Linked DNA regions of Canis lupus familiaris. The protein of the gene in region 3 binds, or shares a complex with, the protein of the main gene of each other region. Links are inferred from orthologs where the notes say so. Each region holds a gene or a part of one and is shown on either strand. Other genes may lie near its edges.

Evidence for each region. The genes of interacting proteins can lie anywhere in the genome.
Region 1: RBM15B (region 3) and ZC3H13 share a complex: the UniProt entries of both Homo sapiens proteins name them as parts of the WMM complex. The link is inferred for Canis lupus familiaris from reciprocal best matches to the Homo sapiens genes RBM15B and ZC3H13.
Region 2: RBM15B (region 3) and METTL3 share a complex: the UniProt entries of both Homo sapiens proteins name them as parts of the WMM complex. The link is inferred for Canis lupus familiaris from reciprocal best matches to the Homo sapiens genes RBM15B and METTL3.
Region 4: RBM15B (region 3) and VIRMA share a complex: the UniProt entries of both Homo sapiens proteins name them as parts of the WMM complex. The link is inferred for Canis lupus familiaris from reciprocal best matches to the Homo sapiens genes RBM15B and VIRMA.

The regions. Positions count from the first base shown.
Region 1 is NC_049243.1:5,183,032-5,186,095, forward strand, and holds the end of ZC3H13 (zinc finger CCCH domain-containing protein 13), read left to right. Parts: intron 1-271; coding exon 272-442; 3' UTR 443-2,564; downstream 2,565-3,064. UniProt on the Homo sapiens protein: Associated component of the WMM complex, a complex that mediates N6-methyladenosine (m6A) methylation of RNAs, a modification that plays a role in the efficiency of mRNA splicing and RNA processing.
Region 2 is NC_049236.1:18,669,375-18,673,397, reverse strand, and holds the start of METTL3 (N6-adenosine-methyltransferase catalytic subunit), read left to right. Parts: upstream 1-1,223; 5' UTR 1,224-1,342; coding exon 1,343-1,442; intron 1,443-4,023. UniProt on the Homo sapiens protein: The METTL3-METTL14 heterodimer forms a N6-methyltransferase complex that methylates adenosine residues at the N(6) position of some RNAs and regulates various processes such as the circadian clock, differentiation of embryonic and hematopoietic stem cells, cortical neurogenesis, response to DNA damage, differentiation of T-cells and primary miRNA processing.
Region 3 is NC_049241.1:38,597,518-38,601,817, reverse strand, and holds the start of RBM15B (putative RNA-binding protein 15B), read left to right. Parts: upstream 1-1,500; coding exon 1,501-4,203; 3' UTR 4,204-4,300. UniProt on the Homo sapiens protein: RNA-binding protein that acts as a key regulator of N6-methyladenosine (m6A) methylation of RNAs, thereby regulating different processes, such as alternative splicing of mRNAs and X chromosome inactivation mediated by Xist RNA.
Region 4 is NC_049250.1:39,921,639-39,925,576, forward strand, and holds the start of VIRMA (protein virilizer homolog), read right to left. Parts: upstream 2,801-3,938; 5' UTR 2,707-2,800; coding exon 2,644-2,706; intron 1-2,643. UniProt on the Homo sapiens protein: Associated component of the WMM complex, a complex that mediates N6-methyladenosine (m6A) methylation of RNAs, a modification that plays a role in the efficiency of mRNA splicing and RNA processing.

The sequences.
Region 1 (3,064 bases), on a different chromosome or scaffold from region 3:
CTTCAGCGAGCTCAGGAGCGTGCGGTGATGGTTTGTTCTGTCATTGGAGAGAACACTAGTTGGCTGACGGCAGGGACTGCCAAAGAGACCTGCTTTAAGCAGGGGACACCTTTTAAAGATTGCTCTCGTTTCTAAGGTTCGTTGAGTCTGAAAAACATTTCTTAAATTTGTTTTTAAATAGAAGTTAAAGAGAAGTTACCTTGCCTGTCTGTCCTACTGTCAACCAGTAACATACGTCTTTTACGTTTTGTTTTTGTTTTCTTCAAATCAGGGCACCGTAAAACAAGCTTATACGAATGCCCCAGTGGTGGACAACGAGTTGCTGCGATTGAGTCTTCGGTTATTTAAGAAGAAAACTACTTGTCACGCCCCAGGGCACGAGAAGGCTGATGATAATAAGCTCCCACAGCCCAGTGTCCAACAGGAACTGTGTGTGTCTTAGGACCGGAGTCCAGTGACATTTTTGGTTCTGTGTTCCTTCAGAGTTACATACTCTTTTTTTCAGAGTTCTTTGGTTTTGATGGCAAACATCATTCATGACAAAGACAGAAAAGATTTATCAGCCGTGGTAAAAGGGTGAAGAACAACTTTGATATGAAGTTTAAAGACACTAGTTTTGGCTAACTTACGATTTTACATAAATTTTTACACAGTACTTGATATTCATGTGAAATAATGTGAAAACATCTAGATTCAGCAGTTTATCTTTTGTTAAAACTGAAGACTTTGGAAAACAGTTGCCACTGCTCTTGCAACCTACGAATATTTTTTATGAAATGGAGCCACTGATAGGTTTTGGATCATCCCAGCAGAAACTGATTTTATTCAGAAACCATGTGTTCGCAGAATGAATACACACACTACAGCTTTGTGCTGTACGGAACTCTTGAAAGTGGATGCTGGTCCTGCATGCTGTCTGTGTTCGTGGGCAGACCTCCAGTAGGAGGGAGCCAAAGTCCTTTTCTGCTTTTCTAAAGTTCTAAAAAAAAAAATTACTAATGGATCTTTGTTTTTTTAAAAATATATGTGTATTGTTACAATGTATATTGGACGTATTTGGATTCCATATGGTTTTGTTTGTTACCAGAGACTGTCTACTGTTTTTATTTTTAATAAATGTACCTTTCCTTTCCTTGTTCTAGATTCACTTTGCTCTTCATTGATCTTATTCCTGATGTTCTGAAACATTTGTCATCAACATTATGTTTCATACTTCAAATATTATACTGCTCGATAATGCAATAGGAGTTGAGGATATATTTTAAATACAGCTCAGTAATACTTGAAACAAACCGGGAGTTAACAAACCTTTGTCATCTGAGCTTTAAAATCCATAACCGTCATATTTTTCAGAGCTATAACCTTTGATTACATTGAACTGTCTAGCTTATAAAATGTAAAATGAAATTTTTTTTTAAAAAATTACGGTATTTGTTTTATTCTGTGAGTATATATGTAACTCATAAGTGGACTTTTAGAAGGATTTAAAATGGACTCCAGGCTGCAGAATTTGTGGACAGACAGAGGTAATAATAAAGGAAACCAATCAAAATTAATTTTTTCCCCCATTGGCTCTCTCAGGTTTTGTTAAAACTGTAATCCTGTGTTACCTGTGTCAGTAGTTTTATATCCTCTAAAGGTAACAGTGTTACTGCTGTAAAATTTCTGCTCAAGAAACATTCACTGTATATGTAATTTATATCCGATAACTGACCCAGCACAGGAAATGGTCACATTTTCAAATGACTTTGAAAGCATGTATGATATGAGACAATGGCAAGCAGGGGTGGGGAGTGTAACCAGATTTTCCTGGTGTCTGTTTCTTTTTCCAATTGGTAGATATTTTAAATAATTAAAAAAAAAGTCTTTAACGACCCTGAAGAATAAATATCCTTTTAAAAACTACTTCCTAATCACGCTAGATAATATTCACTGCAGCACAAGCATTTAAAGTCTTAGAACTTCTAATCCTATTTCCCAGAATTGTGGAACAAAAATAATGGTTTTTCCTGTGTTGTCAGCTGACCTTAGGAATCTTTCACAAGATGTGTATTTACAGAATGAAAACGATTGAAAACGATGTACTTAAATTTGCCATATAGTCAAATTTGTTGCCTTTTCAGGTTTGAGTTTCTTTTTTGTTACGTCATCGTGAAAGAAGAGCTATGGGGAGCTAATCCTCTGAACACTGAGTCACAATATTCAGATATTCAGAGCTTAATGTTCCCAGTAGGAACATAGTGTTGTCAGGTTTCCTATTTTTTTTAATCCAAACATTCTATGTATTGCTAATCATAGACCCTTAAAATTCATTAAAGCAAATCTTAGTGAGTTTTCCATAAAAGCTCTCAGGCCATAATTAAAGTCTCAATGAAATCAATATTCCTGAAAACATCTGCTGGTCTAGAAGTTATTTGCTAGTACAGTTGAAGGTGTGTTGCCTCATAACTGACAGATCAAGTTTGTCCATTTCCCGTAACTGCACAACTGGACTCCAGCTGCTGGTAATAAAAGGGTTGGCAAGAATATGTCTGCAATCCCAAATAAATGCGTGTTTACATGGACCACTGAGTCACTTGTTGGATTTGTTTGGCAGCTGTCCTCACCATTTGGTTTGTATTAACCGACAATAGATAACTTTTTTATTTTACAAAAATTAGGGTATAGTTACATAACTTGGAACTTGATCTGCTGAAAAATCTAATGTGTCGCTTCTCTTGATCCTGTTCTGTAACTGCAGGCTCTCTTCCTCATCCTGCCCTGTGGCCACAATAGGATTCTGTGACTTGACTTCATTAACTTGAAGTTTTGTGCCATTAGCAGAATATCCCACATTATGTGTTACTGTTCACTTGGGTAAAGATTAGGGTTTATGTTATGTGTATGGTCAGTGATGCTTTCGAGTCTCAGAAGAGCCAGCAGCTGAGCCTCAACGCATTTTAAAAGATACGTGGTTTCCACTTCAAGATGGTAATAAAAGGCAGATCCTGAACTCAACCTCCTCCCACAGACACACCAAATCTGCAGCTACATACAGAACAATTTTTCTCTGAAAAACAAAAAC
Region 2 (4,023 bases), on a different chromosome or scaffold from region 3:
CCTGTGTCTCTGCCTCTCGCTCTCTCTAAATGAATAAATAAATAAATCTTCAAAAAAAATTGTATTTATTGAGAAAAAAATTCCACATATAAGTGGGCCCCTGCAGTTCAAACACGTCATTCTTTTTTTTTTTTTTTTTAAGTTTATTAATGAGAGACCCACACAAAGAGAGAGGCAGAGACACAGGCAGAGGGAGAAGCAGGCTCCCTGCAGGGAGCCCGACGCGGGACTCGATCCCGGGACCCCGGGGTCACGTCCTGGGCTGAAGGCAGGTGCTAAACCGCTGAGCCACGGGGGCTGCCTTTTTTTTTTTTTTTTTTTAATTTTTATTTATTTATGATAGTCACAGAGGGAGAGAGAGAGAGAGGCAGAGACACAGGCAGAGGGAGAAGCAGGCTCCATGCACCGGGAGCCCGATGTGGGATTCGATCCCAGGTCTCCAGGATCGCGCCCTAGGCCAAAGGCAGGCACCAAACCGCTGCGCCACCTAGGGATCCTTTTTTTTTTTTTTTTTTTTTTTTTTTTTAATAACGCATGTCATTCAAGGGCCAACTGTAGACATTTGACAAATCAGGGGCTCCCAAAGCTTGCATTCACAAGGCTCCATTAAAAACAACCAGGGCACCCGCTGGCTCAGTGAGTGGAGCATGTGACTCTTGACCTCGGAGTTGGAGGTTTGAGCCCCACTCTGGGTGTAGAGATTGCTTAAAATAAAATCTTTGGAAAAAATAAAAAAATAAAAATAAAATAAAATCTTTGGGCAGCCCGGGGGGCTCAGCGGTGGCGTGTCTGCCTTGGGCCCAGGGCATGACCCCAGAGACCCGGGGTCGAGTCCCGCGTCGGGCTCCCTGCATGGAGCCTGCTTCTTCCTCTGCCTGTGTCTCTGCCTCTCTCTGTGTGTCTCTCATGAATAAATAAGTAAAATCTTAAAAAAATAAAATAAAATCTGAGAAAAAATAATGCAGATGTGTGCTGCCCGGGCTGCTCTACCGGAGCTGCCTGAATGCCTCAGCCCCTCAGATGCAACATGGCCGCGCGCCTGTATAAGCAACATGGCGGCGCTGCCAGGCACGGACATGGCAACCACAGCTTCGCGGCGCCCGGAAGACGCAGAGAGCGCCCCTAGAAAGTATTTCCGCCCTGCTGCCAATACCTCAGGTGTCTCTGCATTCTCCTCCCCAGCGGGCGGGAAACGGAAGGTGAGTGCCGGGCGAGCGCGTGGCCCCGGCCGTTTCCGGCGAGCCCGGGGGCGTCGGCGCGCGGCCGCCACGATTCCCGCGGCCGCCCCGGGAGGCGCTAGCCCGCGCGCCGGATTCGAGGCGCCTTCGGCCGAAAGACGAGGATGTCGGACACGTGGAGCTCGATCCAGGCCCACAAGAAGCAGCTGGACTCGCTGCGAGAGAGGCTGCAGCGGAGGCGGAAGCAGGACTCGGGGCACCTGGGTGAGGCGCGGGGCGTGGGCCGGCGCGGGGCGGGGGCGGGGGCGAGGGCGGGGGCAGGGGCCCGGAGCGAGAGAGCCCTCGGCCGCGGCGCTCCCCGCGGCCTTCACGCCCGCGGGGTCGCTGCGCGGGGTCGCTGCGCGGGGGCGGTACTCGGCCCCCGGGCCCCCAGGCCGCCGTGCGTCGCCTGTGCCGCGCCTCTCGCGCCCGCCCCCCGGAGCAGGAAGGCCCCCGTTGTCTTCTGCTGTGGCGCCTCGTTCTCCCCCGGGAGGGCGACGGCTTGCGGCGGCCGCCGCCTGGCCCCTGTGGGCGCCGTGAGGTGAGGACGGCTCGGGCCGCAGACCTGCCGGGGCCTGGGGTCCCCGCGCTGCCCCGGCCGTTTGCATCTCGAGCAGAAACCTGAAAATGGATGTTTATGGGTTTTGTTTTTAAAGATTTTATTCGTTTATCTACGAGAGACACAGAGAGAGAGGCGGAGATGCGGGCAGAGGGAGAAGCAGGCTCCCTGTGGGGAGCCCGACGGGGGACTCGATCCCGCGACCCGGGGTCACGACCTGGGCTGAAGGCAGATGCCCAACCGCTGGGCCACCAGGGCTGCCCTATGTTTTATGTTTTTATTTATTATTATTGTGATTTTTTAAAAGATTTTATTTATTTATTCCTGAGAGACACACACAGGCAGAGGGAGAAGCAGGCTTCACGCAGGGAGCCGCACGGAGCCGGACGCGGGACTCCATCCCAGGACCCTGGGTCACGACCTGGGCTGAAGGCAGATGCCCAACCATTGGGCCACCAGGGCTGCCCTATGTTTTATGTTTTTATTTATTATTATTATGATTTTTAAAAGATTCTATTTATTTATTCCTGAGAGACACATACACAGGCAGAGACACAGGCAGAGGGAGAAGCAGGCTCCACGCAGGCAGCCCAACGCGGGACTCCATCCCAGGACCCCGGGTCAGGCCCTGAGCCCAAGGCAGGTGCTCTACCGCTGAGCCACCCCAGCGCCACAGTGTTTCTCCTGTTTTTAAACTTTTCCTGCCCTCCTCTTGCCACTTGTCATCCTAAAACTTGAAGGAGCCTCAAAAGATTGTGCAGTTGCAGCCGCCTCTCTCCCCAGCACAAGCTCTGGATCATTTAAGGCAAATCAGCCAGGAGGCTGAGCAAGGAGAGCGAATCCCTGCCACCCTGTGGCAATGTGTCCCAGGCTGCAGTAGGATGCAGTCCCCCCACTACATCGGGCCTTGCTCCCTCTCGGTGCGTGTGCTTGCGTTATGGCCGCTGAAAATAGGTGTCTTGTCAGGACTCTGACATCATAATAGACAAACATGTCTTGAGTATTTGCACTGTGGGCATATGTGTAGATAGACAAAGTTAGACACATCCTTCCTGCTCTCGGAATCAGAATTTAGTTGGGGATCAAGGATTGATGCTTATAAAAATTCAGAATGACGCTATGATAATATGTAAAATGACTGGATGAATCCACGAACTGCAGACAGGGAAGGGAAAAGTGTGTCTTTCATGAATAAATAAATCTCCAAAAAACAAAACAAAAAAAAAGCCAAACTAAGGAAGGTCTCCCAATGATTTTTTTTGTCCATGGTATTTGTAGTCATTAATGATCTGAATACATTCTATTTTATTTATTTTTTTAAAGACTTATTTATTTACTTATTTATGATAGACATAGAGAGAGAGGCAGAGACACAGGAGGAGGGAGAAGCAGGCTCCATGCAGGGAGCCCGATGCAGGACTTGATCCTGGGACTCCAAGATCATGTCCTGGGCCAAAGGCAGGCACCAAACCGCTGAGCCACCCAGGGATCCCCACCTTTGGTTATATCTTACATGAAATCTTGATTAATAAACCAGCAGAGTGTGTCTCATGTTTTCCTAAGAATCCTAATGCTCAAAGATACAGATTCTTTGGAGGGTGCCTGTGTGGCTCAGGATCCCAGGACCTGAGCCACACATCAGGCTCCCTGCTTAGCAAGGAGTCAACTTCTTCCTCTGCCCAACCCCAGCTCATGCTCTTTCTCTCTGTGACTCAAAGAAATAGATTCTTGGGAATAACCAAATTGATTAGAAGGAAGAACAGGGGCCGCCCGGGTGGCTCAGTGATTTAGCATCTCCTTTTGGCTCAGGTCATGATCCCAGGGTCCTGGGATCAAGTTCCGCATCAGGTCCCCGCATGGAGCCTCCTTCTCCGTCTGCCTGTGCCTCTGCCTCTCTCCGTGTGTCTCTCATGAATAAATAAATAAAGTCTTTAAAAAGAAAGGAAGGAAGGAAGGAAGGAAGGAAGAAGAGGAAGTAAGGAAGTAATGGAGGCCGGCCGCACATATTCCCCCCCCTCCGACTCCCTCACCTCCTACACCACTCCCCCCTCCTCCTCCCCGTCCCTCCCTCACGCCCTCCCTCCTCCTCCCTCGCCCGCACCTCCCTCCCGCCCTCCCTCCCTCCCTCCCCCTCCCCTCCCTCCCTCCCTCCCCCCACTCCCTCCCTCCAGAAAGAACGAACAGTGATAGGCTAGTTTATATCGTGTGTTTTATCCCTATTCCCACAGTACCAAACAGGCCAGCAAA
Region 3 (4,300 bases):
AAATGACAACCAACAGCAGCCCCACATTCAGCACATCCTCATCACGATGTCTAAGAGGAAAGCAAGAACGCTAAGCTACTCCTCAGGCCGAGACTTTCTTGTTTGGGGAAAATAGGTGGGCTGTTGAGATGTGACCAGCGCAGTGTGTCCTGAGCCCCTTATAGGTGCTGGGAAAATCCACGGCTGGCGATAGAAATCTTAGGAAGTAGATGGCCATGGCCTACAGGCCACACTGAACACAGGAACAGAAAAACAACCCAACCACTCCCACTCTAGGGCTGACCCCCACGGTTATCTACAAAGGGTTAACTCATTCCTGCTGGAAGGGGAGTTAAGATCAGACAATGTTACAGATGTTTCTTTTAAGAGCTTTCCCCTTGCACTTGCCTCAGCTGCTCCAGGAGCTGCTTTATGTATGGTCATGGGAGGAGGAGGAGGAGGAACTGGCAGCCTCTTCCCCGCCCCCACGGTTTCCGTGCAGAAGGGTCAGGTTCTGCGATGCTTCCAGCAGCTCTCGGGAATAAAACCATCCCAAGGCCGCTTGGGCACCCAGGCAGGATTCTTTCCGCCTCCCCCGCACCTCACCTCTGGAGAAGAGGTCCTGGCCCTCGAAGTGGATAGAAGGGCACTGGTCAGCCTCAAGAGGTAAGCGTAGCAAGCTGTGCTAACGACTGGGTTTGGCCTTCTCTTCGCCCTTGGCTCCGTGGCCCTGCCCTCAGCCCACTGCTCGGAGGGCCGCAGCCTAGTGGCGCCAATTCGCACTCGGTAAACGGCGGGTTTGCTGGCGCGGGTTTCTCCGCCTCAACCCTGCTGAGCCTCGCCTTTTGCATGGACAGCCCTTGGTCATCGCGGCCTTTCCAGGGACCGCAGCAGGTGATACCTGAATGCGGAGGATCCCTGCTTTGTGGGGCGTGGGCGCTGGACAGGGCTGAGGGAGCGGCGTGCTTAGATCCTCTTCACCGTCGACCCCGGACCAGTCGGGGGATGCTACGTAAAGAGGCCGCTGGTCAAGAGTCGGGAGCCCGGCGCCCACAGGCACTGCCACTCCTGTTCCACGCAGCGCGGGCCCCCGCGCCGGAAGCGGGAAGCCTAGGGCCGGCAGGAGCGAACCAGGCCCGCTCTCGCGATGGCCCCCATCTCCGCGCAGCCCGGCCCCAAGGCCGCGCGGTGGCGCCAGAGCTCAATGCCGGGCCGCGATCGCCCGCCGGCCTCCCGGCCCCTGCCCCGCCCCCGGGGGTCACGTGATGGGGGCGGCGCAGTCCGATGACGCACACCCGGCGTAGCTCTCGCCCCGCCCGCCGCGGGGTCACGTGACAGTCCGGCGCTGCCTGATAACGCGACGCCCAGCCCCTGGGCGCCGCTCCCGCCCCGCCCCGCCGCCACCGCCGCGCCGAGTCCTTTTGTCCAAGATGGCGGCGCCGGGGGCGCTGCCTCCTCGGCCGCCGCCGCCGCCGCTGTGAGGGGCCTGCGGGCCGCCCGCCCGCCCGCCGCGCCGGCGCCATGAAGAGGCAGAGCGAGCGAGACTCGAGCCCGAGCGGGCGCGGCTCGTCATCGTCGGCCAAGCGGCCGCGGGAGCGCGAACGGGAGGCGGAGGCGGGCGGGCGGCGGGCGGCGCACAAGGCCTCGGGCGGCGCCAAGCATCCCGTTCCAACGCGGGCCCGCGACAAACCCCGCGGTAGCGGGGGCGGCGGGGGTGGGCATCGCGACGGCCGCGGCGCCGGGGACGCGAATCACCGTGCGAGCAGCGGCCGCTCCTCGGGCTCGGGCGCTGGCGGCGGGGGACGCGGTGGCAAGGCCTCCGGGGACCCAGGCGCTTCAGGTGCATCACCTCGCGCGTCTCCGCTGCCGCCACCTCCGCCACCGCCCGGGGCCGAGCCCGCGGGGCCCGGCTCATCGGCGGCCGCACCCGAGTACAAGACGCTGCTCATCAGCAGCCTGAGCCCCGCGCTGCCCGCCGAGCACCTCGAGGACCGACTCTTCCACCAGTTCAAGCGCTTTGGCGAGATCAGCCTGCGCCTGTCGCACACGCCAGAGCTGGGCCGCGTGGCCTACGTGAACTTCCGGCACCCGCAGGACGCACGCGAGGCCCGCCAGCACGCCCTGGCCCGCCAGCTGCTGCTCTACGACCGGCCGCTCAAGGTGGAGCCGGTGTACCTGCGTGGCGGCGGCGGCGGCGGCGGCGGCGGCGGCGGCGGCGGCGGCGGGAGCAGCCGGCGAAGCAGCAGCAGCAGTGCTGCCGCCTCCACGCCGCCCCCAGGGCCGCCCGCGCCCGCCGACCCGCTCGGTTACCTGCCGCTGCACGGCGGCTACCAGTACAAGCAGCGCTCTCTGTCCCCAGTGGCCGCCCCTCCGCTACGGGAGCCCCGCGCCCGCCACGCCGCGGCGGCCTTTGCCCTGGATGCTGCCGCCGCCGCCGCAGTAGGACTGTCCCGGGAGCGGGCCCTGGACTACTACGGTCTGTACGACGACCGCGGGCGCCCATACGGCTACCCCGCCGTGTGCGAGGAGGACCTGATGCCTGAGGACGACCAGCGGGCCACGCGCAACCTCTTCATCGGGAACCTGGACCACAGCGTGTCCGAGGTGGAGTTGCGGCGGGCCTTTGAGAAGTACGGCATCATTGAGGAGGTGGTCATCAAGAGACCTGCCCGTGGCCAGGGTGGTGCGTATGCCTTCCTCAAGTTCCAGAATCTAGACATGGCCCACAGGGCCAAGGTGGCCATGTCGGGCCGGGTGATTGGCCGAAACCCCATTAAGATAGGCTATGGCAAGGCCAACCCCACCACTCGCCTCTGGGTGGGCGGCCTGGGACCTAACACCTCACTGGCCGCTCTGGCCCGGGAGTTTGACCGCTTCGGGAGCATTCGGACCATTGATCACGTCAAGGGAGATAGTTTTGCTTACATCCAGTATGAGAGCTTGGATGCAGCTCAGGCCGCCTGCGCAAAAATGAGGGGCTTTCCCTTGGGTGGTCCAGACCGAAGGCTGCGTGTGGATTTTGCCAAAGCAGAGGAGACCCGGTATCCCCAGCAGTACCAGCCCTCACCCCTCCCTGTGCATTATGAGCTGCTCCCAGATGGATATACCCGGCATCGAAGCCTGGATGCAGACCTCCGGGTGCGGGATAGGACCCCCCCACACCTCCTGTACTCAGACCGGGACCGGACCTTTTTGGAAGGGGACTGGACCAGCCCTAGTAAAAGCTCTGACCGCCGAAACAGCCTGGAGGGCTACAGCCGCTCAGTGCGCAGCCGGAGTGGGGAGCGCTGGGGAGATGGGGACCGGGGCCTGCCCAAGCCCTGGGAGGAGAGGCGGAAGCGGAGGAGCCTCTCCAGTGACCGCGGGAGGACAACCCACTCCCCTTACGAGGAGAGGAGCAGGACCAAGGGTGGTGGGCCACAGGTGGACCGGGGCTCTGACCGCACTCCTGAGCGCAGCCGTAAGGAGAATCACTCCAGTGATGGGACCAAGGAGTCGAGCAGCAACTCCCTCAGCAACAGCAGACACGGGGCTGAGGAGCGGAGCCACCACCACCACCACGAGGCTCCAGACTCTTCCCATGGGAAGAAGACCCGAGAGAGCGAGCGCAATCATCGGACCGCTGAGGCTGAACCCAAGCCTCTGGAAGAGCCAAAACACGAGACCAAAAAGCTCAAGAATCTTTCCGAGTATGCCCAGACACTGCAGCTGGGTTGGAATGGGCTCCTAGTGTTGAAAAACAGCTGCTTCCCAACATCTATGCACATCCTAGAGGGGGACCAAGGGGTTATCACGGGCCTCCTCAAAGACCACACTTCCGGGAGCAAGCTGACCCAGCTGAAGATTGCCCAGCGTCTGCGGCTGGACCAGCCCAAGCTCGATGAGGTCACGCGGCGCATCAAGCAGGGGAGCCCCAATGGCTATGCGGTGCTCCTAGCCACCCAGGCGACCCCCAGCGGGCCTGGCACTGAGGGGATGCCCACGGTGGAGCCAGGCCTACAGAGGCGGCTTCTCAGGAACCTGGTCTCCTACTTGAAACAGAAGCAGGCCGCAGGGGTGATCAGCCTGCCGGTGGGTGGGTCCAAGGGCAGAGACAGCACAGGCATGCTCTACGCCTTCCCGCCCTGCGACTTTTCACAGCAGTACCTCCAGTCAGCACTGAGGACATTGGGCAAGCTAGAGGAGGAACACATGGTGATAGTTATAGTAAGAGACACTGCCTAGCCCAGACCTGGCTCCAGCTCCGCGTTTGTGTCACAAAAGCAGTTCTTTTAAAATCCGACCACCACCCTTCCCCACATCCTACCCCTTGGTTTGAATT
Region 4 (3,938 bases), on a different chromosome or scaffold from region 3:
TCCAGCTATGTCACTTTAGGAAAGTCACGTAACCTCTCACACTCAGTCTCATCTATAAATTGGGGATAAAAATCTTTCAGAATTCTTGAAAGGATTAAAGATAGTGTATTTCAATATACTGCACTACACCTTGCACAAAATAAGCATTCAATAAATGCTGGCAATGATAACTGCCTACCCACTAACCTGGAACTTCCATTACATCTCACTTTTTCTTCTTGATTTGCCACCTGTAATTTTTCTGAACCATTTTAGGCATTACTGATCAATTAATTGACTTAATGTATTTTACTAGTCATTTAATTTGCTTGCTCAGAAACTATTTCCTACAAAATAAAGTCCATTTCCTTTGCTGAGCATTCAGGGAACTCCATGATGTGGCTTCAAACTGCCCATCAGCTGCCACTTCACTCTAGGACTTTTGGAATACTCCACAGAGGACTGGCTACTCCAGGACAATGCCCTGCTTTCTTATACACAATTGTGGGACATTTCCTCTTCCACCAAAGATCCAACTTCACATGACAACTACTTTGATGATGTCTTTCCTGATATTCTCAAATGAAGAGTCATCTCTCCCTCCACTGAAATTACATAGCCTTTGTTGGTAGCACCTAAAGGAGCTAAATAAATATTGACTGGGGTCCTAATGTCAGACACACACAGATTATAAACCCTGAGGCACCTGGCTGGCTTAGCAGGTGGAACGTGCAACTCTTGAACTCGGAGTCAGGAGTTCGAGCCCCACAGTGGGTGTGGAGCTTACTTTTTTAAAAAAAGAGAGGAGGGCAGCCCTGGTGACGCAGCGTATTAGCACCACCTGCAGCCGGGTGTGATCCTGGAGACCCAGGATGGAAGACGTCAGGCTTCTTGTATGGAGCTTGCTTCTCCCTCTGCCTGTGTCTCTGCCTCTCTCTGTGAATAACAAAATCTTTAAAAAATAAAAATAATAAATAAAAAATAAAAAAAAAAAAAGAGACAGCAGCCTGGGTGGCTCCGTGGTTTAGCGCCACCGGGCCCGGGGCCTGATCCTGGAGACCTGGGATGAGTCCCACACTGGGCTCCCTGCGTGGAGCCTGCTTCTCCCTCTGCCTGTGTCGCTGCCTCTCTCTGTGACTCTCGTGAATAAATACATAAAATCTTAAAAAAAAGAGAGAGAGAGAGGTGATAAACTCCAAGGGCTTCCCACTGCTTCTATATGCACTGACCACATTCTAACCCGGACCCTAATTTTGTGGCCCCAACCTCCAACACTTAGTTATAACTCCGTGGGAACAAACAGCTCGACATTCCACACCCCCCACAAGCCCTCGGCCTTCCCTCAGGACTCGGTTCAACCGTGAGCTCTACCGAGCCTCCCTCAATCACTGCCAGAACCGGCCGTCTCCTGGTCCTCGCTGTTTGTCTAAGAACCAGCGGAGCCACGCTCGACCCGTACACGCAGGAGTGAACCAACACTGATTTCCCGAAACTAGAAAGCCGCTGACTTCTCATATGCTTCTTTCACTTTTAATGGTTCTGCCTGTACACATGACGGGTTTGTTCTGATCCAACTGCTAACTCCAGGGGGTTTCGGGAGCCCCGCTGGCGTGCGGCCGCAGAGGACGGCCGTGGACCAAGACCAGGGGACAAAATGAAGAGACCAGGGCGCGCCCGGTGAGGGGGCTCCGCAGGGAGCGCCTGCCTCGGGCCCAGGGCGTGACCCCGGGGTCCTGGGATCGAGTCCTGCGTCGGGCTCCCTGCGTGGAGCCTGCTTCTCCCTCTGCCTGGGTGTCTCTCTCTCCCTCTCTCTCCCTCAGGAATAAATACATAAAATCATAAAACAAAGCGACCAACAATTTCACCGTTTGCAAGACGTGCGGGGGTCTCGATTTTTACACAGGAAACGGTCGGAAGAACCAAAGTCAGTCAACTTTTTATTTTGCCACACACAGCGTTACGGCCGCAGCCGCACTGTCTCCGACCAGGGCCGAAGGGTCGCTCGGGGCCCACGTCGGAGGAGCCGCGTGCGCCCCGGGTCCCCGTGGTCCCGCCGCGGGCTCCGTGAGCGCTCCCGCCGGCCCTCGGGGGCCGCTGACAGGCCGCTCCATGCCGCGCAGAGGTCGCGGGGTCGGCCCCTCCGGGACGACCGCCGCGCGACACCGCCGCCGCCGCGCCTCAGCCGCGGCCACGCTCCGCTCCGCTCCGGCCCCTCCAGGGCGAGCGCTCCCCACGCCACGGGCGTCCGTCCGAGCGAGCGGACTCTTCTTGAGCCCAGTGCTGAGGTGAGGTGAGGCGGGCGGGCGGGCGGGCGGCGCAGCCCCGAGCGCACCGCTGAGGGGGGCGCCCCCCGCTCCGCCCCCGGCGCTGTCAAGCCCCAAGCCGTCCGAGCCCCCGCCGGGCTGCCGCGGCCCACGGCGCTCCCACAAAGGGGCCAGGCGGGCTGAGCGGCCACCGCGCCCCGACCCCGCGCAACGGGGGGGCTCCCGCCGCCCGGCCTCAGACGTGGTGCCCACACCCAGGCGGGCGGGGGGCGGGGAGGGCGCCGCGTCTGTGGGGAGCCCAAGCGGCAGCCGGCGGGGCGAGGAGTCGCGGCGCGCCCCACGGCCCCCTGAGGGTCCCCGCGGCGAGAAGCGGCGTCGGAGTCAAGTCCGGGAGCCTTACCTCAGCGCTTGGGTGTTTAAAAGTGTCTAAAAATAGCAGCTCCATCGCCGAGTCCACCGCCATGTTCGCGGCGGGCGGGGGCCCAGGGGGAGGACTTCCGGGGCAGCGCTCCAGCCGCGGCGACGGCGGCTCGCGAGACGCGGAGCCCGCAGCACTTCCGGTGCCCAGCGCGCCGGCGCCGCGAGCCTCGGCCTGCCCGGAAGTGCGTCGCCGCGGCGAGCCCCGCCCCCGCCTTCTGCCGCGCGGCCGGGGGCGCCCGGGAGCTCGGGGAGGGGAGGGGCGGGGCGGGGCGGGGGGCGGGGGGAGGGCTACGGGCTACGGCGTCGCCGGCGGCCCACGGCCTCCACAGCCTGGCCTTTTAGCGCGTTGCCGGCCCGCGACGGCCTGGGGGGCGGGCCGAGTGCCCCGCGGGCTGCGGGGAGGGGGGAGGAGGGAGGGGAGGACGGAGAAGAGACGGGAGGAGGGGGGGAGGGAGGAGGGGTGAAGGTGAGGGGCAGGGGAGGAGGGGGAAGAGAGGGGAGGACAGGAGGGATGGGGAGAAGAGGGGAGGATGGAGAAGAGAAGGGAGGGAGGAGGGGGAGAAGGGGAGGGAGGGGGAAGATATGGGGGAAAGAGGGGTGGAGGAGGAGGGGGGAAGAGGGGAGGACAGGAGGGATGGGGAGAAGAGAGGAGGATGGAGGAGGGAGAGGGGAGGAGGGGCGAAGATGAGGGACGAGCGGAGGGGGGAAATGGGGAAAGAGGGGAGGAGGGGGAGGGGGAAGAGAGGGTGGACAGGAGGAAGAGGGGAGAAGGGAGAAGAGACGGGAGAAGGGGGAGGAGGGGGGAGAGGGGAGGGAGGATGGGGAGAAGAAGGGAGGGAGAGGGGAGGAGAGGGAAGACAGGGGGGAAGAGGAGGGAGGGGGAAGGAGGGGAGGGATGGGGAGAAGAGGGGAGGATGGAGAAGAGAAGAGAGGAGGGGAAGAGAGGGGAGGGAGGAGGGGGAATAGGGGAGGGAGGGAGAGGGGAGGAGGGGGGAAGATAAGGGGAAAGAGGAGGGAGGGGGAGAACAGGGGGAGGGAGGAAGAGAGAGGAGGATGGAGAGAAGGGGAGGGATGGGGAGAAGAGGGGAGGATGGAGAGGAGAGGGGGGAGGGGGGAAGAGGGAGGAAGAGGGGAAGCCGCCCACGCCGGACACACGGGCGGGTGGGGCGGGGAGGTTCACTGAGCGAGGCTGAAGACTAAGGTTTTTTTTTAAGAAAGAGAAAACCTGTTATCTCAAAGAGGAGAGTTTTTTTTTTTTTCTTTTTCTCATCTGCA